4 linked regions of the Saccharomyces cerevisiae S288C genome follow. The gene in region 1 interacts genetically with each later gene. Each region holds a gene or a part of one and is shown in the gene's direction. Other genes may lie near its edges.

What was found.
Region 2: mutations in PAC10 (region 1) and KIP2 together harm fitness more than expected from each alone (negative genetic interaction), as found in Saccharomyces cerevisiae (5 studies listed by BioGRID, with this or other methods).
Region 3: mutations in PAC10 (region 1) and STE24 together harm fitness more than expected from each alone (negative genetic interaction), as found in Saccharomyces cerevisiae (5 studies listed by BioGRID, with this or other methods).
Region 4: mutations in PAC10 (region 1) and VPS71 together harm fitness more than expected from each alone (negative genetic interaction), as found in Saccharomyces cerevisiae (5 studies listed by BioGRID, with this or other methods).

Annotation. Positions count from the first base shown.
Region 1 is NC_001139.9:636,858-641,970, reverse strand, and holds PAC10 (tubulin-binding prefolding complex subunit PAC10), read left to right. Parts: upstream 1-1,599; coding exon 1,600-2,199; downstream 2,200-5,113. Other genes in the region: YGR079W (uncharacterized protein), read right to left, coding at 139-1,251; PEX8 (Pex8p), read left to right, coding at 2,458-4,227; mitochondrial 54S ribosomal protein mL59 MRPL25, read left to right, coding at 4,394-4,867; U4/U6-U5 snRNP complex subunit PRP38, read left to right, coding at 5,096-5,113. UniProt on the Saccharomyces cerevisiae protein: Binds specifically to cytosolic chaperonin (c-CPN) and transfers target proteins to it. Binds to nascent polypeptide chain and promotes folding in an environment in which there are many competing pathways for nonnative proteins.
Region 2 is NC_001148.4:255,091-261,640, reverse strand, and holds KIP2 (Kip2p), read left to right. Parts: upstream 1-2,304; coding exon 2,305-4,425; downstream 4,426-6,550. Other genes in the region: PEP4 (proteinase A), read left to right, coding at 710-1,927; pheromone-regulated protein PRM4, read left to right, coding at 4,874-5,728; TGS1 (RNA methyltransferase), read right to left, coding at 5,880-6,550. UniProt on the Saccharomyces cerevisiae protein: Required for assembly of the mitotic spindle.
Region 3 is NC_001142.9:640,189-646,282, forward strand, and holds STE24 (zinc metalloprotease), read left to right. Parts: upstream 1-1,818; coding exon 1,819-3,180; downstream 3,181-6,094. Other genes in the region: YJR115W (uncharacterized protein), read left to right, coding at 1-263; TDA4 (Tda4p), read left to right, coding at 637-1,476; ILM1 (Ilm1p), read right to left, coding at 3,302-3,913; JHD2 (histone demethylase), read right to left, coding at 4,116-6,094. UniProt on the Saccharomyces cerevisiae protein: Proteolytically removes the C-terminal three residues of farnesylated A-factor mating pheromone. Also acts to cleave the N-terminal extension of the pheromone. Does not act on Ras.
Region 4 is NC_001145.3:194,413-199,968, reverse strand, and holds VPS71 (Vps71p), read left to right. Parts: upstream 1-4,213; coding exon 4,214-5,056; downstream 5,057-5,556. Other genes in the region: YML040W (gag protein), read right to left, coding at 2,019-3,341; carnitine O-acetyltransferase CAT2, read right to left, coding at 5,169-5,556. UniProt on the Saccharomyces cerevisiae protein: Participates in the catalytic exchange of histone H2A for the H2A variant HZT1, an euchromatin-specific factor, leading to chromatin remodeling and changes in transcription of targeted genes. Indirectly involved in vacuolar protein sorting.

The DNA of each region.
Region 1 (5,113 bases):
CCTATCAAATTAGCCAACTTGTCCAAATAGTAAAAGATATAGATCTTATAATGACATATTTTTCAAATCCTACAAAAACAAGTTACCCTAACACTGTATAAAAAGAATCTATTTATTGTACTGTTAATAGTACTGTTATTACAACATGAATTCACCGATACCAAAACCAGCTGATAACGTCTGGCAAACACCACTCTTTCTTCTTATGGCCCTCTTCAACAGCTTATCTCTTTTAGACAAGGGTTTCCACTTTTTAGAAATTGCAGAGGATGAGCGCAGGGAATTCTTCAAAAACTTCCTTTTTTTCAAGGTGAACTTGCCCTCATTGTCTCTGTAGCACAATAACTTGATATTGTAGTCCAAATTATCAAGAAGGGAGGAAGATGGTGATGAAGATGGGGAGGGTTCCATGGCTTCAGCACTGTTGATATCATCTTTGATGAAGTCCTCTATTCCCAATGTGTCGTTCGAACTCGTGGTGGCGTCGCCTGGATGCAGAGCCACGAGGGAGCATTTTCTTTGTCTTGTCTCCTGCAGGCAAATGGCCTCTTCTGCAGTGCCATTTACTTCCTTCCAGAAGTCCGTATTATTTGCGTCACTCTTGCTATTGTCGCCGAAAAAGAATGATTGCTGTATCTGTGGTAGAAAGATACTGCTCTCGCTGCTATCGTGGAAATTATTCTTGTTGTGATTTTCCTCCATGGGTAGTTCATTGTCCGCACTGTAACTAAATGTGCTGTTGGTGAAGGAAGGCTGGTGGCATGGGGAGAAGAGAGGATCAGGCTCAGAACTATAGCCGAGCGTACTTTCGAGGTCGTCATCATCGTCATCATCGTGTAAATCTCCGTTTTGGGTGCCATCGTCCTCGGTGGCGTTCTCAGATAGTGAACCGGCAGTATCTATCGAACGAGCAGTGGTGATGATGATTGGGGTGGCCTCGACTGCACTGGCTGTGGTGTTTTTACCATCTGCTGTCCCGCGAGTGTCCGCTTTCTTTGTGTGCGATCTGGACAAGGGAGTAATATCCTCCTTGGTGATGACCTTATTCGGTACCTGAAATGCCTTGCTGCTTTTATTCATTGCTACGTAAACTATGCTATATGATACAAGTGAACGCTCGTCGAGGGAATAACTGCTGCGTGTGCGTGAACGAGTAAATGAATGAATGAATGAGTTAACACATGAAAACGAAGATAATCGCAAAACGACAATGAACAAATAAACACATCCCTCATTTGCGGCACTGCTCATCTCATCTCATCCTTTATATTAGGAGGCAACGAGCTTTCTCGCTCACCAAAAAGAAACGTGCGAAAAAAACCGAAAAATAAAAAAAAAAAAAAAAAAAAAAAAGAAACGCGCTGCAGGAACGTGACTTCCAAAAAAGGAAGGTGCCGTTCCAATATGGAAACCGCAGGCACTCATGATTGTGCAGGACGGGTAACACATGATTTGTTTCGTTTCTTCGATCATTTTGCAGAACTGGTCAGAAAAGAAAGTGAAAAAATCTAGTTTAACACTATTGTAGAGGCTATAAATTGTAGACAACATTTACTGCAGAAAACTGTACGCACATATATAACAGATACTACGGTTATTATGGACACACTGTTCAACTCCACGGAAAAGAATGCCAGAGGCATACCGCAGGCTCCATTCATCGAAAATGTCAACGAAATAATTAAGGACCCAAGCGACTTCGAATTGTGCTTCAATAAGTTCCAAGAACGGCTTTCTAAGTACAAATTTATGCAGGAATCTAAATTGGCTACGATAAAGCAGCTGAAGACTAGAATCCCGGACTTGGAAAACACATTAAAAATATGCCAAAGTCTGCGCAATCACAGCGACGAGGGCGATGAGAGCGATGAACCTATCCTGTTGCACTACCAATTGAACGACACGCTCTACACAAAGGCTCAGGTTGATATACCGGAAGATCGGGCGGATTTGAAAGTTGGGTTGTGGCTTGGCGCAGACGTGATGCTGGAATATCCCATCGACGAGGCCATAGAGTTGTTAAAGAAGAAACTCGCGGATTCCGAACAGTCTTTAACGGTGTCCACCGAGGACGTAGAGTTTTTGAGGGAAAATATCACGACAATGGAGGTCAATTGCGCGCGATTGTATAACTGGGACGTTCAGAGAAGGCAAGACTTGAAGCAGGCTCAAGAAGGGACTAAAAACCTCAAGATATAATGTGTCTGTAAATTTAAATCCAAAGAAAAATAAAGGGCACTACATAGAACAACACAATCAACCTACATAGCTCTCTTTTTTTTTTTTTTTTTTTTTTTCTTTTTTGTTTTTTCTCAATTTTCTTCATTTTTTGCATTGTTACTACTCTCCCATTAAGGGAAATTCTACCAGGAAAACCGAAGAAGACAAATGCAAAAGGGAAATATGAATACGCATGTATGCGCGCAAAACCGCACTTACAGAGGGCATTAGGACATTATGTTTGATCATGACGTCGAATATCTGATCACTGCACTCTCTTCCGAAACGAGGATCCAGTATGATCAACGCCTGCTAGACGAAATCGCGGCCAATGTGGTATACTACGTCCCAAGAGTCAAATCCCCCGACACTTTGTATCGCTTGGTCGGAGCACTTTTCCGATCGCAGTTCATTGTCCAATTACCACCACTACGCCTTTTGCACATCGTCAAAGATGTTTTCCTTTGGAAACTGGAAGTTTCTGAGCCCACGCTCCCAATTTCGAAGTTTTACTTGGTTTGGAATGCTGTTTTCGAATCTCACCGAGCCACGTGGAACCTTTCACAGTTGATGGTTTTGGATGGTGTACTAGTCACATACCCGAGCTTCAAACAATTGAACAACGCCTATTTTATTGATGAATCCAGCAACAAAACTGCGCTTTATTACAGAAACTGGAAATTACAACTGTTTTCACCAATATGGGCGCAGCTATGGAATACTGCCATTGTCAGGGCTAATTTATCGATTCAGCATTGCCTTCTGATAGCATTAGCTTTACTTTTTAATCAGTCAAACCGAAGCGCCCTTTTGCATGGAGTTGACGTATCATGGAATTTGGTCACAGAGAAACTATTGGACCTTTTGGAAGAGTATGTACACGGCATTGTGCAGCCGATGGAAATTTTTTCGACTGATTCAGTCTTATCAACCAACTTGAATCATTTGGCCAGTTGCTTGACCAGTTCAATCACGAGGTCAAATGAGGCAACTTTGGTAAATTCAGTACGCAAACTAGAAAGGATATGTCGATACTTGTCCGATACTGTGGCTTCGTTGAAAGAACAACAACTAGATTTCAAGTTCCAAAATGTATTTATCCTGATAATCCTCGCGTTAAAAGAATTATCCGCCATGAATATGACAATACTGCCTAACCATAAAGACACTTTTTATTCTATGATCTGTTTAAGCCTTTTCCACGTCCACGTATTGACTCAAAAAATCGGGACAGTCGGTTTTCCCAGTTACGATTATGTTTACGATAATTTAGTAACGTATTTCATTGTCATGGATGACTTGTCTAAAATCACTACAGTTTTGGAACTAATGAAAAGAAACAACACCAAACAAGATCCAAATAAATTAGTGTTTTACATCAATTTTCTAAACAAAATTACTAATTACTATGGGTGTCGCATTCGTTTGCCGTTTATTACTGAGTTTATCGAACCTTTACTGCATTTCGATGTATTTTTTAGCGGGAAGACGGGCAATACCTTGGATATTGAAATCAAAGAATCTATACACACATTGACAATCACTGTACTGTCTATAGACTCCTCTTATTCCTCACAGGTTGCACAATGGCAAGTATCCCGCATACTCGTCTATTTAAAGATGTCGATGGACCAATTTATTGCAGGTAAATTGTCCGCAAATCAAATTTTACTTATATTCGGCCATCTATCCACACAACTTCCCTCACTACATAATTATAACAAGCATTTGCTTAGGGACTCTTTGCACGAGACGTATATCAGAATTGTTAATGTAAAAAACCCAGAAAAGAAGAATGTATTGATTGAATGTCTGATTGTACAAATAGCCTTTATCAACAATCCTCATCATTTGATCGGCTGGTTGAACATCTGTCTCCAGCTAATCAATACACATAACAAAAAGCTACTTCAACAATTGTGGGAAATGGTTTCGAGTCTAGAATCCTCCCTAGCCATCGACTGGTGGTACACAACGGTCTTATCAAGTCAATCTTCTAAATTATAGTATCATTAAGTACTTTATAGTAGCGCCTTTTTATATTCCTTTTTTCTCAAACAAAAAAAAAAAATGACTGGGATACAAGTGAAAGTGGAAGAGCAAGTGAAATACGAAATAAAGTGAACCATTTATACAGAATAGGAAAACCAACTAGTGCATTAAACTAAACTCCATGTCATACAAACAGTATTTTGATAGTTTGCCTTTGAAATTGAAGTCCTTTTTCCAAAGATACCCCCCTTCAATCAAGTATTCTCCAGTGTCTACATCTACTAAAGCCATTAATGCCAATCCTTTCCTGCCAAATAAACATCCGGTCACACAACGATTTCATGATCCGAAATATTCACTTAGAAGAATGAGTGACGTATATAAGTTGGCACTGCGTTATGGAGTAGAAGAGTTTTTACCACCGATCGAAAACACTAAGAAACTTTTCTTCGAGGAGAAATACAATAAAAAGACCCTCATGAAAGGTGTTCTCTTGCCCAAGGGTCATAAGCATGAATTGAAATTAAACGAAAAGCTAAAAAAACGTGAAGAAGCTTTAAAGAAGGTAGATGAGTTGATTGCTTCCAAGAAGGGTTCGAAGTATGCCAAGAGAGTAGAAAAAATGAAAAAAAACCAAAGTATAGGCTGGTTCTGAAGAATAAGAGAGAAGATAACTATAGTTTAGAATAGTAAACCCTATGTGTACTGTTTTATGTTTTTAATGTCTAATCATGTAAATAATTTTGTGATATCAATAACGAACGTTCTGAACAAGAATTATGATAAAAAAAAGTAAAATCTAAAGCCATTACAACGCTATATTTTCAGTGGCAGTAAAAACGCAAGAACAAAAACAAAACGTGGGTAAAGAACAAGGACTACAATGGCTGTCAATGAATTT
Region 2 (6,550 bases), on another chromosome or scaffold:
CTTTTTGGGTTTTTATTACATATAGAGTGACGTTTTGATACGATTTACATTTTGAAATATATAGATTTTTGTATATTAATAAGTTTTGATTTTCAGTTTTAGTTATGCTTAATGAATTTTTGAATCAGAAAAAGAAGTTCTGAAAAAAACATAATCCTGCTTGATGTGGTACAACAAGCTCATAAATAATTTTAAAAAGTTTGTTAATCCGTTTTCAATATCTTGAGCTCCTCAATTGTATTTGCTGAGGTCTGATTATTTCTATAACCAAAAGCGGTTATTGAATCTATGGAGAGGCTGTAACCCGTCTTATGCCTTCCGGGTACTATATTTCATTTGCGGGTGTCGATGGATTAAGGGGCGGAGGCGGCCCTTTTTAGGATTTATATAAAAAGCCATACTTCCGTACTTCGTAACCTCTTATCAACTGGTTAAGGGAACAGAGTAAAGAAGTTTGGGTAATTCGCTGCTATTTATTCATTCCACCTTCTTCTTTTTTGAGCGAAGCCTTTATAATCAAATTTTAGTGGTCTTTTCTATTTTTATTTGAGAAGCCTACCACGTAAGGGAAGAATAACAAAAAGTATATCTCACCCTACTGTATTCATAAAAAGTTTTTTCTATTAGAATTCTATAAGAAAAGAAAAAAAAAAAGCCTAGTGACCTAGTATTTAATCCAAATAAAATTCAAACAAAAACCAAAACTAACATGTTCAGCTTGAAAGCATTATTGCCATTGGCCTTGTTGTTGGTCAGCGCCAACCAAGTTGCTGCAAAAGTCCACAAGGCTAAAATTTATAAACACGAGTTGTCCGATGAGATGAAAGAAGTCACTTTCGAGCAACATTTAGCTCATTTAGGCCAAAAGTACTTGACTCAATTTGAGAAAGCTAACCCCGAAGTTGTTTTTTCTAGGGAGCATCCTTTCTTCACTGAAGGTGGTCACGATGTTCCATTGACAAATTACTTGAACGCACAATATTACACTGACATTACTTTGGGTACTCCACCTCAAAACTTCAAGGTTATTTTGGATACTGGTTCTTCAAACCTTTGGGTTCCAAGTAACGAATGTGGTTCCTTGGCTTGTTTCCTACATTCTAAATACGATCATGAAGCTTCATCAAGCTACAAAGCTAATGGTACTGAATTTGCCATTCAATATGGTACTGGTTCTTTGGAAGGTTACATTTCTCAAGACACTTTGTCCATCGGGGATTTGACCATTCCAAAACAAGACTTCGCTGAGGCTACCAGCGAGCCGGGCTTAACATTTGCATTTGGCAAGTTCGATGGTATTTTGGGTTTGGGTTACGATACCATTTCTGTTGATAAGGTGGTCCCTCCATTTTACAACGCCATTCAACAAGATTTGTTGGACGAAAAGAGATTTGCCTTTTATTTGGGAGACACTTCAAAGGATACTGAAAATGGCGGTGAAGCCACCTTTGGTGGTATTGACGAGTCTAAGTTCAAGGGCGATATCACTTGGTTACCTGTTCGTCGTAAGGCTTACTGGGAAGTCAAGTTTGAAGGTATCGGTTTAGGCGACGAGTACGCCGAATTGGAGAGCCATGGTGCCGCCATCGATACTGGTACTTCTTTGATTACCTTGCCATCAGGATTAGCTGAAATGATTAATGCTGAAATTGGGGCCAAGAAGGGTTGGACCGGTCAATATACTCTAGACTGTAACACCAGAGACAATCTACCTGATCTAATTTTCAACTTCAATGGCTACAACTTCACTATTGGGCCATACGATTACACGCTTGAAGTTTCAGGCTCCTGTATCTCTGCAATTACACCAATGGATTTCCCAGAACCTGTTGGCCCACTGGCCATCGTTGGTGATGCCTTCTTGCGTAAATACTATTCTATTTACGATTTGGGCAACAATGCGGTTGGTTTGGCCAAAGCAATTTGAGCTAAACTTTTCTTACTTCTCCGCCCTATCCTTTTCTGCCATCTAGAGAGCTTTTATAAGTAGATAACAATAAAAAAAACTATAGTATATTTAAAAAAAAAAAACAAGACAAACCATCTTGTCCTCAGTTTTAGAATCCATTGTTCTATGCTGCTGCCCATAATGTCATTATATGCGGGTAGCCCGATGATGCGGCTCGAGAATTTCCTTGTTTATCCTTTTCCAATAGCGGAACAATTGATAATAAAGCAATGTAAGCAGAAGCGAAAAATAAAAAGAAATAGGCTGCAGAGATTCACAGGCTGCGCTCTAGAAACATTTGAAATCAAGGCAAACATAGAACACTTGATAAAATTCTTACCATAATACCACCATTGATGATTCAAAAAATGAGCCCAAGCTTAAGGAGGCCATCAACGAGGTCTAGTTCTGGTTCAAGTAATATCCCACAATCGCCCTCTGTACGATCAACTTCATCGTTTTCTAATCTGACAAGAAACTCCATACGGAGCACCTCTAATTCGGGTTCTCAGTCGATTTCTGCATCTTCCACTAGAAGTAACTCCCCACTAAGATCCGTATCAGCCAAATCCGATCCCTTCCTTCACCCAGGTAGGATAAGGATCAGGCGGAGCGACAGTATTAACAACAACTCGAGAAAAAACGATACATATACTGGGTCAATCACTGTGACCATCCGGCCGAAACCACGGAGCGTTGGAACTTCCCGTGACCATGTGGGGCTAAAATCGCCCAGGTACTCTCAACCAAGATCCAACTCACATCACGGTAGCAATACATTTGTTAGAGACCCCTGGTTTATTACTAATGACAAAACAATAGTGCATGAAGAAATTGGAGAGTTCAAGTTCGATCATGTTTTTGCTTCCCATTGCACTAATTTGGAAGTTTATGAAAGAACCAGTAAACCAATGATTGATAAGTTATTGATGGGGTTTAATGCCACCATATTTGCGTACGGTATGACCGGGTCAGGTAAAACGTTTACAATGAGCGGAAATGAACAAGAGCTAGGCCTAATTCCTTTATCTGTGTCGTATTTATTTACCAATATCATGGAACAATCAATGAATGGCGATAAAAAGTTCGACGTTATAATATCGTACCTCGAAATTTACAATGAAAGGATTTACGACCTGTTAGAAAGCGGATTAGAAGAATCCGGTAGTAGAATCAGTACTCCTTCAAGGTTATATATGAGCAAGAGCAACAGCAATGGATTGGGCGTAGAATTAAAAATCAGAGATGACTCTCAGTATGGGGTCAAAGTTATCGGTCTCACCGAAAGAAGATGTGAAAGTAGTGAAGAATTATTGAGGTGGATTGCAGTTGGTGACAAAAGTAGGAAAATTGGCGAAACTGACTACAATGCAAGAAGCTCACGATCTCATGCCATTGTACTGATTCGTTTAACAAGTACTAACGTAAAGAACGGCACCTCAAGATCGAGTACATTGTCGTTGTGTGACCTAGCAGGTTCGGAAAGGGCTACGGGGCAACAAGAGAGGAGAAAGGAAGGTTCATTCATCAACAAATCCTTACTTGCTTTGGGGACTGTGATATCCAAACTCAGTGCCGACAAGATGAACTCAGTAGGCTCAAACATTCCCTCGCCATCTGCAAGTGGCAGTAGCAGCAGTAGTGGAAATGCTACCAATAACGGCACTAGCCCAAGCAACCACATTCCATATCGTGATTCTAAATTGACTAGATTATTGCAGCCGGCACTAAGCGGTGACAGCATAGTGACAACGATATGTACAGTCGACACCAGAAATGATGCGGCAGCGGAAACTATGAATACGCTGAGGTTTGCATCAAGAGCGAAAAACGTCGCACTTCATGTATCCAAAAAATCCATCATCAGTAACGGGAATAACGATGGAGATAAAGATCGCACCATTGAGCTACTGAGACGCCAATTGGAAGAACAACGTAGGATGATCTCTGAATTGAAGAACCGTTCAAACATTGGCGAGCCCTTAACCAAATCTTCCAATGAAAGTACTTATAAAGACATTAAAGCCACCGGCAATGATGGTGATCCGAATTTGGCTCTAATGAGAGCGGAGAATCGAGTATTAAAATATAAACTAGAGAATTGTGAAAAACTACTAGATAAAGATGTGGTTGATTTGCAAGATTCTGAGATTATGGAAATTGTAGAAATGCTTCCCTTTGAGGTCGGCACCCTTTTGGAAACAAAGTTCCAAGGTTTGGAATCACAAATAAGGCAATATAGGAAATACACTCAAAAACTTGAAGACAAGATCATGGCGCTAGAAAAAAGTGGTCATACTGCAATGTCGCTAACTGGGTGTGACGGCACTGAAGTGATCGAATTACAGAAGATGCTCGAGAGGAAGGATAAAATGATTGAGGCCCTGCAGAGTGCCAAACGACTGCGGGATAGGGCTTTGAAACCACTCATTAATACACAGCAATCACCGCACCCTGTCGTGGATAACGATAAATGATTAGGTGAGGGTCCCAGATCTCGGGTGCTTTTTTCCTTGTGCGGATTGTTCTGTAGACTGCGCCTCCGCTTGCCCGGCGCTTGCCTTGAACGGGATCTATTCTCAGAAGACAGCGCATAAAAGGCAGTTTTTAGGCACTTCTCGTTAAGAAAATACACAAATAATGGATTTACGAAGTTCGTTTCAGTGTGGTACCAAAAAATTTGGCATCAGCTAATAAAGATCAAGAAGTTTTGGGGTTGTTTCGAGTCTGTCTCGGCCTTAATTGTGCAGGTACTAAAGGGATTAATATATAAAGATTGTTAAGGCCAAGTGACTGAAACTTGCAAACGTCTTTGAATCAGGCTTATCTCTTAAATACTTATATATATGTTCTTTTATAGACTTCATAATCTCTTGTTCCAAGAACAGTAAAGAGCAATTAAAAAAAGGAAAATAACAGTTAAAGATGATAGCGGATTCATCAGTTTTGAAAAAGCACACAGCAATCAAGAGAAGTACGAGAATAATATCGCTAACACTCGTTTTGCTTGGCGTATTTAGCTTCTTACTACTTACATGGAATGACTCCTTGGAATTCTACAACTCTGCTGACCCTAGCGAAAACAAAAAAAATAGTGAGGAAGAAAGTGAAAAGAAGTTCGTTTACAAGTTGCCAAACTTATTAAAGACAGCAGACAGTTTTCTAAGTAATGAAAATGAACTAAATTTCCAAAAAGTCAAAGAAGAAATTTCAAATATTCAAAGCGAGGTTGAAGTCGACATCCCAGAACCCTCATCCAAAGCTACATCAAAATTTTCTTCAAGATCGTTCCAAACTGATAATGTCGTGACGGCGACGACCACAACAACACTAAATCCACGGTCATCTTCTCTGGCCTTGCAGAAAAACTGCGATCACAAAAAATTCGACCCTAGAACAGATTTTCTAGATATAATAAGAACCTCTCCAGCGGTATTATTCATTAAATCATCACAAGCAGACTCCATTTTCTTAAAAAATCTATTACAAAGAGAATTTGAGATTTCACCCGAATTGGCCACTGTTGATTTGGAAAAACACTCTCATGGCTATGAATTAGAAAAGTATATCAAACAAAATAAACTAAATATCGATACTAGTGCTGCCTTGGAATCCATTCAGTCGCCTTATTTATTTTTGAATGGTATTTCCGTGATAAATCGTGGAATGGTGAGAGATATAATCGAACCTCATTCGAAGGGATTGCTACTACCTCTTCTAAAGTCTGAAGCGCGTGGCAACTTGCTGGTAGAAAAAAAAGACATCCCTTCTAATTCTTAATTTGTTATCACTCCTATCGACGAGCAGCCGCAGCTAAAAGAACGTTTTAATTATTCCCAAATTCACGTAAGCGATCCTCTTTATGTGCTATATATACATTCATAACATAGTCATTGCATTTTCTATCATACGATTCAACTTGAACAAGTGTTTAACCATTTACGTCGTAAATGTCTACAGTATTATCTTTGGTCGTTGTTGTGGATTCATGCTTTTTTCTTTTCGAGAGCTCTTCGTTTTCAGAACTCAGCTCTTCCTTTTCGGACGACTCCCTTCGACTATTCTCCGTACTTGCTGGTTCGTAGTTAAAAAAGCATTCCCCCCACATGCAAAATATTCCTTTCATATATCCATTCTCCTTTACATATAATACTTTACATTTGGCAAATGGACCTAGTACTTTCCTCGTAGCTCGAGAAAGCTGGTTCAAATCAGAGTTCCTTGGCAAAAACATAATCACATTAGGGCTTAGTTTAAGAAAACTTTTCAACATCTTGGTAATCCCCATAGGCTTTAGATGTTGCTCTAAGTCATACACATCGTTTCTTAAGTATTCTGGACCACCCCACGGGGGTGATCCAAATACACAGTCGTACTTTATTTTGGAAAGTTTCTGCTTAGAGACTAGCTTTTTCCAGGATCCCCGCTTCAGCCATATTCTGTCGTCCACACCGTAGCTTTGGGCGTTTTTCGCAGTACAATATATGTGTTCAATACTGTAGTCCACTCCATAGACGTAAGGAAATTGCATGGCAAATTGTATGGTGTTCCCGCCCCCACCACAGAAAACATCCAGTATTCTTTCGGCATTTGGCATGCATG
Region 3 (6,094 bases), on another chromosome or scaffold:
ACTTATACATAAGCAAGATACGTTCCAAGCTGTCTCAGTGCGCCCTTACTCGACACCACCACAGAGAACTTGATCTACGAAAAATGGTGGGCCACGCCAATATGCTGGACAGGATCCTCGACGAAATAGACGAAATCGACAGCGAGGTAGTACTGTGTGACGCTGCCGATGGTTCTTCTACTGCAGAAGCTCATTCCGCTTCCCCAGCATCCAGCGACTCTTCTCCTCTCACTAATAACATCCGGCCCATTAGCATTATGTGATTAGCATGCATTTTCCCCTTTTCCTTTCTTAAGAACATTTTTACGACGCGGATCTGCCCGTCATCGCATACGAATGTTGAATCACGCCAGAATCACCAAAGAAAAAAACTCGTTCAGTTCCTAGGTTTTATGAGCCAGGAACAATAGACTTTTATCGCATATTATTTCTATACGTGCACTTATATATGCACACATATGTTTATATACATATACATACATACGTGTTTCTTTTCAGCCTGTGTTTTTGTCGGGTCCAAAAACATACAAGGCAACATAATATTTTGACATAACTCAACGCAACATAACAGTATAAAACATAGTTTAATAAAAGAGAAAAAAAAAACAATATTTTTAAGCTATCGCTCTTGCCGCAATGAACGCCAACTCTACCACGACAGCAATCGGCCTCACCAGCCCCTTCGAAAAGCTGTCCTTCTTCCCTCATTCGTCTAATTTAATACTGGCTCATTTGCATGAGATCATCTTCAGCTTCGTCTTCTACCAGCTCGCATTCTCCGTTGTCGCACCGTTCTTGAATAAAGTGGTCTTTCGCAAGCACTACACCACGATCCGTGACCCACTGCTGAAAATTGATTTCAATGTCCACACCGTCTCGATGATCCAGGCTGTCGTCTCGAACACCGTCCTGTTGCCCACCCTCACGACGCCAATGCATTATAATGTTGTCACCTACACAGATTCGTACAGTTCAATGGTATCTTCCCTCAGCGCAGGGTACTTTATCTGGGACTTGACTATGTGCGTGCGTTACTTCAAGCTTTATGGTCTCGAGTTCACGGGCCACGCCATTGGCTCCGTATATGTGATGCTGTTGTCCTTAAGACCGTTCTGCCAACCCTGGATCGGCAGGTTCCTTATCTACGAGGCCTCCACTCCCTTTGTGAACATCAATTGGTTCATCATGCAATGTAACGCCAAGAGCAAGAACTCTATCCCTCTGTGGTTTAATGTCGTCAATGGCCTTTTGCTCATGACTGTGTTTTTCGTCGTCAGGATTTGCTGGGGCTCCATCGCATCCGCTCTCTTATTCAGGCAGATGTGGAAGGTAAGAGACGAGTTACCCAAGTTTTCTGCTGTCACGATGATGTCGCTGAACATTTTCATGAACCTTTTGAACGTGCTTTGGTTCAAGAAGATGATTAGAATCGCCAAGAAACTTGCAAAACCAGCCCCAACGTCGAAGCTAGACTAAACCTACCTTTTTTTCTATCTTCAACAACGAAACGCCTTACACACACACACACATACATCTACATACATACATACAAATATACATATATGTAAACTTGTATATTCATTCCTATTAACCAAAAAGAGGCAATTAAACTTTTCCCTCTTTTTCTACGTCATTTACTCAAAAACTCTAATTCCTTCGTCTCTGTTCTGCCATTTTCTCCAGAAAAAAATCGACGGGAAATAAAAAAAAAAAGACAACGAACAAGAGAAAAAGTTCGCGAATTATAAACCACTTCTATAATTAACAGGAAAAGGAAGGAAAAAAAAGGAGGAAATAGAAAACTGCAGGCCTTTATTCATGTTTGATCTTAAGACGATTCTCGACCATCCTAATATCCCGTGGAAATTAATCATTTCTGGGTTCTCGATTGCCCAATTTTCTTTCGAATCTTACTTGACGTACAGACAGTACCAGAAGCTATCTGAAACAAAGTTGCCACCTGTGCTGGAAGACGAAATTGATGATGAAACTTTTCATAAATCAAGGAACTACTCCCGGGCCAAGGCCAAGTTCTCCATTTTCGGTGACGTCTATAACCTAGCCCAAAAGCTAGTTTTCATCAAATACGACCTCTTCCCTAAAATCTGGCACATGGCCGTTTCTTTATTGAATGCAGTCCTGCCAGTCAGATTTCATATGGTCTCCACTGTCGCACAGAGTTTATGCTTCTTGGGTCTCTTATCCAGTTTGTCTACCTTGGTTGATTTGCCACTCTCTTACTATAGCCATTTTGTCCTGGAAGAAAAATTTGGTTTCAATAAATTGACCGTCCAACTATGGATCACCGATATGATCAAGAGTCTGACTTTGGCGTATGCTATTGGTGGCCCAATCCTTTACCTGTTCCTTAAGATCTTTGATAAATTCCCTACTGATTTCCTTTGGTACATTATGGTCTTCTTGTTCGTTGTCCAAATCTTAGCCATGACAATCATTCCAGTCTTCATCATGCCCATGTTTAATAAGTTCACTCCATTGGAGGACGGTGAACTGAAAAAATCTATTGAAAGTTTGGCCGATAGAGTTGGGTTCCCTCTAGATAAGATTTTTGTCATTGACGGCTCAAAAAGATCTTCTCATTCAAACGCATATTTCACAGGTTTGCCATTCACCTCCAAGAGAATTGTTTTGTTCGACACTTTAGTGAACAGTAATTCTACTGATGAAATTACGGCTGTTTTGGCCCATGAAATCGGTCACTGGCAAAAAAACCACATCGTTAATATGGTCATCTTTAGTCAATTGCACACCTTCCTCATTTTCTCCCTTTTCACCAGCATCTACAGAAATACATCATTTTACAACACCTTCGGCTTTTTCTTAGAGAAGTCCACTGGCAGTTTTGTTGATCCCGTTATCACTAAGGAATTCCCCATTATCATTGGATTTATGTTATTTAACGACTTATTAACTCCACTCGAATGTGCCATGCAATTCGTGATGAGTTTAATTTCCAGAACTCATGAATATCAAGCTGATGCTTATGCTAAAAAATTGGGCTACAAGCAAAATCTATGTAGGGCTCTAATTGATCTACAAATCAAAAACCTTTCCACCATGAATGTAGATCCTCTGTATTCTAGCTATCATTATTCCCATCCAACTCTAGCTGAAAGATTGACCGCTCTAGACTATGTTAGTGAAAAGAAGAAAAACTAATCTATAGAGTACACATATTAGCATGTACCGTTAAATTCAGCTTCGTTATGTCTATATCTACATACATACACAGGTATCTACTATAAGAATAAAGGAAAGAAAAAATAAACGATTAAACATTTTATTTTTTTGCATCGCTATCATCATTACCTTTCTCATTGTTATCATCATTATCTTTCCCATCTTCATCGTCATTTTCTTCATCATTGATTATTTCAATGATTTCTGTGGTTTCAGTCTTCACGGTAAATGGTTGGGGTTCTTCAATATCCTCATCATTAACCATGAATTGGTTCAATCTTTTGAACTCTTCATTTTTCTCCTCCCTAATGGCATTATACAAAAGAAAATTTATCCAAACTTCTGCAAAACAGTAAATAAAAACAGAGTTATTGTGAACGTAAAAGTTTGACTCCCAAAGGTACGAGATACTTGTCAAAATAAAAAAAATTAGTAATCTAACTGGCACAACAGATTGGAAGTATTTAACATTGTTTTCTAACAGGGGAATTAGATCATGAACACCGTTAAGAGTAAACAGAAGAGCGAAAAGACCCAATTGACCACTATAACGTGACAGTGTTAACTGCGGTAAATTCATCGCTTGCGTTAAGACTATGAAATATGTATTTTGCAAAATAGAATTAACGTTCTTTAAACAAAAGAAGGCGATCGTGAATAAAAATGCTACTCTGAAAAAAGCAATATTGGTGGAGTTCAAGGCTTGAGCCATTTTCTTAGAATTTATTCTTTACTTTTGCTGAATGCGATACTCTATTATGTTGTAAATTGTTACACTACCATTCAATTGTCTCTCTTTAAAGATTGATCGACATTATTTTCTTTACTTTTTTGGTGTTTTCGCGCTAAAAGTGGCGTGCTAAATGCCAAGTATTATTCTAAAAAATCATTACGCCATACACAAATATTGAAGACTATCTATCTAACTTAACACCAACTTGCTTTATTAAAGAGTCAATATCCTTCAAAGACTTAGTGAAATACAATTCATCGTCAATATAAGGTTCTTCACCGTCGCTATTGTTCAAGTTTTGTATTGATTTTAAGTAATCCTGCGTACACAGGATACTCACTTTACTGTCCGTCGTGGATAGTTCATTCCACTGCCTAATACTTAAATGGTTTTTCTTGTGTCTTTTATACGTTCTAATTGAATCATAGTTATTCTTTCGCAATACAAAGGCTATTGAACATATAGTCTTACATTGGGAACAAAATATATCGTATTCCTCATCTTCATCGTTTGGATCAGTATGCACCTCCAAAAGAGTTGTCCGTGGTACAATGGCCTGAATTTTCCGTATGCGTTTTAATTCAGTATTATAAAAGACGATCAATGAAGAGTAACATTGCCTAACAAAAGCATCATTGAACAATAGAGTATCTTTATTGTACTTGTCCAAAACATTGATCATTAAATCAAACATATCAAAAACACATGCTTTCTGAGTTAATTTATAATCCGTAATCGCACCAAATCCATATGGTAGCCAGAAATCTATAGTAAAATTGACAGCTTCATTAAAATTATAACCTGTATTAAAACCAGCATGGTAACATTTAGGAAACGTGATAATATATTCGTTGGGCTTTTGCACAGCTTTGTACACAGGAATACCTGATTTCTTGAAATTTGGATCGTACGGAGATATTAAAGTCACTAGCTGATGCAGTAGGTCTGGTTGTTTGATAAATAAGTCTGGTGACATATCATTTAATAGATCGTTGAATTTCGTACATCCCGATTCGGGAATGCTGTACCAGACCTTAGGGTCACCTTCATGTTGATAGTTAGCACTTAGGGTATACTGATCTTCCATATGCCAACAAAATGTGGAAAATAAGGAGCCTATGTAAATCCAAGGAATAGTCATGCCAGAAATATTTCTTTTAAATAACGGTAATAGCGAATTATGAGCCATAGGCAAGTTAGTTAAATTCATAGGATGATCGCAATATTTGAGGTAGTCTATCAATTCGTCCCCATTTATATTTTTGGGTATAAATTCTCTCGTCGGAAAGCCGGTAATTTGACCTGGCAATTCGTTATGTATGTCAGCACCGTATTTAACTGTCGTTAATGAACTGCGACGATTCTTGGTCACTAAGCTCCAAAACATCTCTTCCAACTCATCTATAGACAGTTTTCGTGCTGGTAATAACCTTGAATTTTGACGTTTACAATATTCTTGAAACTCTGGTAGAGAATAGTCATGCGTGTCCTGAGTGAATCCGTAATATCCGTTTCCGACGATACAAGTGTTACAAATCCAATCGCCAGAGGGAACACGTTCCAAAGGTGGTGATAAACAATATATATGGAATGGTTTGTCACATGAATCACATAAAATTGTTCTTTTTGGATCATTTGTCTTGCGACAAACAATACAAGCATCATCATCGTCCTCCTCAAAATCCGACCCAGAATTCGAATCTGGCCCAAGATCGAAATCGTCCTCGTCATCACTTAATAAGGATTTTGGATACTGGTCAGCATGCAGCGCCGTGTGCACGTTCTCGTTCAGTGAATGAAGAAATATGTAGTATGAGGCAATATATTTCTCAAAAATTTCCTTTAACAAGCCGATTGGTACGTTGAATTTTTTAGAAATGGTCCTCCATAGACTGATGTCGCCTCTTAATTGGGAAATATCTCTAAATTTCAATTTTCGCCTGAATGACTGTGTAGTGTCAGTAAGTGTCCGATTGTCTTTTATTAGTTCAGAGAAAACGTCATAAAAGTACACTTTTTTTTTTAGTATTTCCGATGCATGAGTAGAATCTGAATATTCTACAATCGTATAAGGTTCCCTAAGTATAAGTTTCGATGGATCCTTAACGGATCTTTTAAAATTATTTAACTGTTTCATAAAAAATAGCCTACACCTATTTT
Region 4 (5,556 bases), on another chromosome or scaffold:
TTTTGATAGGAACAATATTGTGCGATGAATTATTTTCCGGTGGAGAAGCATCGATTGAAGGTGAACGGTGTATAATCCTTTTCTCAGTCTCTTGGTCACTTATCTGCGGAACAGTTTTGTTGTTGGTACCACCCGTACTGGATATTGGTACGTTTGTATGATTAGTCTCATTTTCACTGTACGAGTCTGAGTGTCTGAAATCTTTAGATTTACTGGCGTGCGACGACTCATGTGTGTTAGATTGGGACATGGGAGCAAGTAAAGGAACATTTAATTTATGCATACCACCCGAACCGGTACTCTCGATATTGGAAATTTGGGGGGTGCTAGATCTCTTCTTTGATGGAAGAATATTAGATTCAGATATGTTGGGGTCAACTTCTCTGGGTGCGCGAATATTGGTTTTAGAAACACGTTTCGAATCTTCAGTATGAGTTGACGGAGGTGTGGAATCGGTTGGACTCACAGCTTTTGAAAGGACATTTCTCGGTTGCTCAGGATGTAGTTCGATGTCAGATTGGAAGTCATGGTCAGATTCTATGTTAAGATCATCGGATTGTTGGATCTCATTTGACGCAATGAACGATTGATATGAAGCAGTTAAACGGTTTAAGTCTTCATCGAAAGTGAGTGCGTCGTAATTGAATTGATCTAATCTGGATTCCTTGCCCTGAAGAATAACATAGTTAGTTGTATCTACTGTCTTCTTTAAGGATGGAAGATAGATGATATATCCATAAGAGTTTCGAGACGGATGTAGAGCGTAGCCTGGGATGCCACGAGGATGTATTTTGGAGTTAGGGTTGTGATCATTGACGATAACAGGTTGACCGAAAGGTAACAAAGTACTGATATCAAGTCCTGCCAAGCCAGCATGTTGTCTTGCAGATTTTTTGCTTTTAGGTGAAGCTAGTGAATTTCTCACAATAGTAGAAAATTCGATTGCAGAGAACCATAAATGGTTCGGTAAACCACTACATTGCAGTTGAGTACGGCAGTCATCTAATAAGGTACGGTTGAGCCGTTCAGCGACTCCATGTGCTCGGGAATCCGCTGTGGTTGTATAGCATGGAGTTATACCATTTTTTTCAAGGAATTTATGGAGAGTTCTGTTAGTATACTCAGAACCACGGTCCATTTGTATAACCAAGACACTGGCCTGAAACTGGTTCTTAATAAAAGCTAGTATCGTAGTAAAAACATCGAGGATAGAGTCCTCGCGACGGTCGTGTAATGGATAAACCCAACGGAATTTTGTTGTCTCATCAGTAAATGAGATGAAATAGGATGGTGCACTTTTTGGTAGGTTGTGAACTGGACCAAATATGTCAGTATGTAGGTATTGAAAGGGTTCGTATGAATTTTGGTATTTTAGTCGTGAACCTTTGATATGTCTGTGTTTGGTGCTTTTGCCGATTAAACAATCAGGACATTGATAGTCAATAGCACTAGACCTGTCGACATCTGATTCGTTAAAATACGTGATGGTGTTATTTTTAAGTGAGTATCGAATTGTCTGTGCATTGGCATGTGCAAGCATTCGATGAATGAAAGGATAAGGATATTTGCGTGTACTTTCACTTGTATGGACATTATTGATGGTGGGTACGGAGATATTTGATGGAAGCAAGTACTTTTTAGATACCCAGTAAAAGTCTCCATATTTTACGATAGGTGCAAGTACAGTGCCGTCAGATCGTTCTAAGACGTTTTTGGTAAAGCATGCTGTGATATCTACTGCAGCCAATTCATTCAAACTGAGTAAGTCATAGGCTATGTTAGGAGTGTGCAATACCTTTATTGATGTTTTGGTGTTGTCCTGGAAGTGAAATTGTAGGTCACCAATAGCGTTAATTGGTATATTTCTTTTTTGAGCATCAACTACGTTTATGTCAGGATTAGATGATGCTGAGTGTATGTGATGAGCAGATCTTATAAGGGTTCGTGATGCTCCTGAATCGAGAAGGAGGTGTCCAGGGAGTTCATCATCAGAATGATTAGTGTGATTTACCGTAGATTCAGTAAGTTCCTGGCCTAAGGTGAAGGTCGTGCTTATTGTTCAATTGAATCGGTTCAGTAGTTGATTTACTGATGGAATCGTTGTCCGTGCTGGGAGAGTTATTAGATGTGGATACATTGTGAGCCCTGGCTGTTTTCGATTTCGAATTATTTGTTTTTTGAGGATTCCGAGCTATAACTTTGGGTTTGGTTGTATTCGTATAGCTGCGAGAATCATTCTTCTCATCACTCAGATTTCTCCTGTAATTAGGTTTGCTGTTTCTCGATCCCTGTTGTTCTTCATAAATAGCATGGATATCTAAGAACAGTTCAGCGACTGTCATATTTAGATGTCGATGACGTGTGTAGCGTAAAAATTTATATTCGCCAGATAGACCTCTCATAATTAATTGGCATGCGACCTTGTTATTGATATGAATGCCATTATTGTTCAGTCTGTCGATAATGTTTGTGACTTTTGTTTCAAATGCATCTGCAGGTGTACTGCCATTATATTGCAAATTTGCCAGGGTCACAATGTCGTTTGCCTCTTGGGTATCAGATTGCATTTTTTCAATACTTTTGGAAAGAATTTTCATGATATCCGTATAATCAACGGATAGGATGTCTTTGACCCAGGTAGGTAGGAATTGAGAGGGAGCAAATATTTGAAAAGTGTTATACAAGAAGGTGAGTTCATCATCAGTGATCTGACGTACGGGTTTTCCGTTTACTGTCGGAATAATACCACCGAGATTCGAGTTTTGTAAAAATTTGATGTATGTTTTAACCCAATTTGGAAAGTCATTAGGTGAGGTTAACATTGGTGGTGGTCTGACATATTTTTTAGTGGATGTCATATCAGAGTCCGCTGAGGATGAATCAGTAAATGTATTACCTGACTCAGGTGATGGAGTGCTCAGAGGCGTTCCAACTGATGATGGATACTGCGGAAACTGTGATTGTGGCCCAGGTGGAAAGTACATAGGCGACATTTGATAAGGTGTATACGGAATCATAGATGGGTGTCCGTAAAATGACCAACCAGATGGATTGGCTTGGTTTTGGGTCATCATGCACTGCTGTGGGTACGGCCCATTCTGTGGAGGTGGTACTGAAGCAGGTTGAGGAGAGGCATGATGGGGGTTCTCTGGAACAGCTGATGAAGCAGGTGTTGTTGTCTGTTGAGAGTTAGCCTTAGTGGAAGCCTTCTCACATTCTTCTGTTTTGGAAGCTGAAACGTCTAACGGATCTTGATTTGTGTGGACTTCCTTAGAAGTAACCGAAGCACAGGCGCTACCATGAGAAATATGTGAATGTTGAGATAATTGTTGGGATTCCATTGTTGATAAAGGCTATAATATTAGGTATACAGAATATACTAGAAGTTCTCCTCGAGGATATAGGAATCCTCAAAATGGAATCTATATTTCTACATACTAATATTACGATTATTCCTCATTCCGTTTTATATGTTTATATTCATTGATCCTATTACATTATCAATCCTTGCGTTTCAGCTTCCACTAATTTAGATGACTATTTCTCATCATTTGCGTCATCTTCTAACACCGTATATGATAATATACTAGTAATGTAAATACTAGTTAGTAGATGATAGTTGATTTCTATTCCAACAACTAGTAACACGAATACTACTAAACAAATGATATTTTAGAGTTCCATTTCAACATTATGCACTCAATATTCATTATTGTTGTTAAGGGCTTAATATTGTAGTTGTCAGAAAACTTTTACTATTCGGTGATTCCTTAGTGGCTAAGATTCACAAGTTCACAAGGGCGTGTGGTCTAGTGGTATGATTCTCGCTTTGGGCGACTTCCTGATTAAACAGGAAGACAAAGCATGCGAGAGGCCCTGGGTTCAATTCCCAGCTCGCCCCTTTTTTTGATATTTTTTTTGGAGTATTACAAAAACGACCATTCATTAAGGAAGTGAAGTCGGTGGAATAGCTAGAGAGCTTATATTTATTTAGTCGTTGCTTTATGTAACGAAGCAATCAATAAAATATTTGTGTTCTGTAGAAATAACTTTGATCCGGGTAATAGATAATTAATAACTACTTTTTTTATAATGAACATGATGATCTTTGTGAGTATTAACAAAAGTCGAAGCGGCCCTTTCAATCTATAGTAACGTCGATATCATTGATAGATCGAAGAAAAAGAACGGATCGCTTACTCATAACAGCGAAATGAAGGCGCTAGTTGAAGAGATTGATAAGAAAACTTACAATCCTGACATATATTTCACGTCATTGGATCCTCAAGCACGTCGATATACTTCAAAGAAGATTAATAAGCAAGGCACAATATCCACCTCTAGGCCCGTAAAGCGCATAAACTACTCACTGGCAGATTTAGAGGCCAGGTTATATACTTCGAGATCTGAGGGAGATGGCAATAGTATAAGCAGACAGGATGACCGAAATAGTAAGAATTCCCATTCATTTGAAGAAAGGTACACACAACAAGAGATTCTCCAGTCGGACAGGAGGTTTATGGAACTTAACACAGAAAATTTCTCGGATTTACCAAATGTACCGACTTTATTAAGTGATCTCACAGGCGTACCACGAGATAGAATTGAATCAACAACCAAACCGATCTCACAGACCTCGGATGGTCTCTCTGCATTAATGGGTGGTTCTTCTTTTGTAAAAGAGCATTCCAAGTATGGTCATGGTTGGGTGCTTAAACCAGAAACCTTACGGGAAATACAATTATCGTATAAATCTACAAAACTACCTAAACCAAAGAGGAAGAATACCAATCGTATTGTGGCGTTAAAGAAGGTTTTAAGTTCAAAAAGAAATTTACATTCGTTTTTAGATTCTGCGCTGCTAAACTTGATGGATAAGAATGTCATTTACCACAATGTTTACAATAAACGATACTTCAAAGTGTTACCCCTAATTACGACATGCTCTATTTGCGGTGGCTACGATAGTATTTCAAGTTGCGTTAATTGTGGAAATAAGATTTGTTCTGTAAGTTGTTTTAAATTGCATAATGAAACTAGGTGCAGAAATAGATAGTAATGATCAGTATGTATTCGTAAGCCCTTTTTTCTCCCCTATTTATACGTATGTAAGTGTAGATACTTAACAAAAATATTCACAAATTAATTGAAGAGGAAAGGTGAAAAATTCATAACTTTGCTTTTCGTTTATTCTCATTTTCCAAGGCGTCAAAAATTTCATCAGCAGCTTGAGATAAATAATAGTGTAATCTGTTAACACTGGCTCCACTCTTGGCTGGTTTGTTGACAATATTGATATGCAGCCACTCGTTATTCAACATGTATGCCAGTCCAAACCCGTTGTCATTTACTTGAGACCAACCATAACCGTCAAAATATTCCGAAGATAGTTGAGATGTGGAGATCAACCAAGTTGAAGAATAATTAAATAAGGGATCTTTGAAAAGGGGCGGAATTTGGTCATCATTAGATTTTAGCATATTCTTTAGACCGAAGAAATGACGATCGACACCATTACCATTTGCAGCATTTTTCAGGTACGTAGAATGCTCTTTT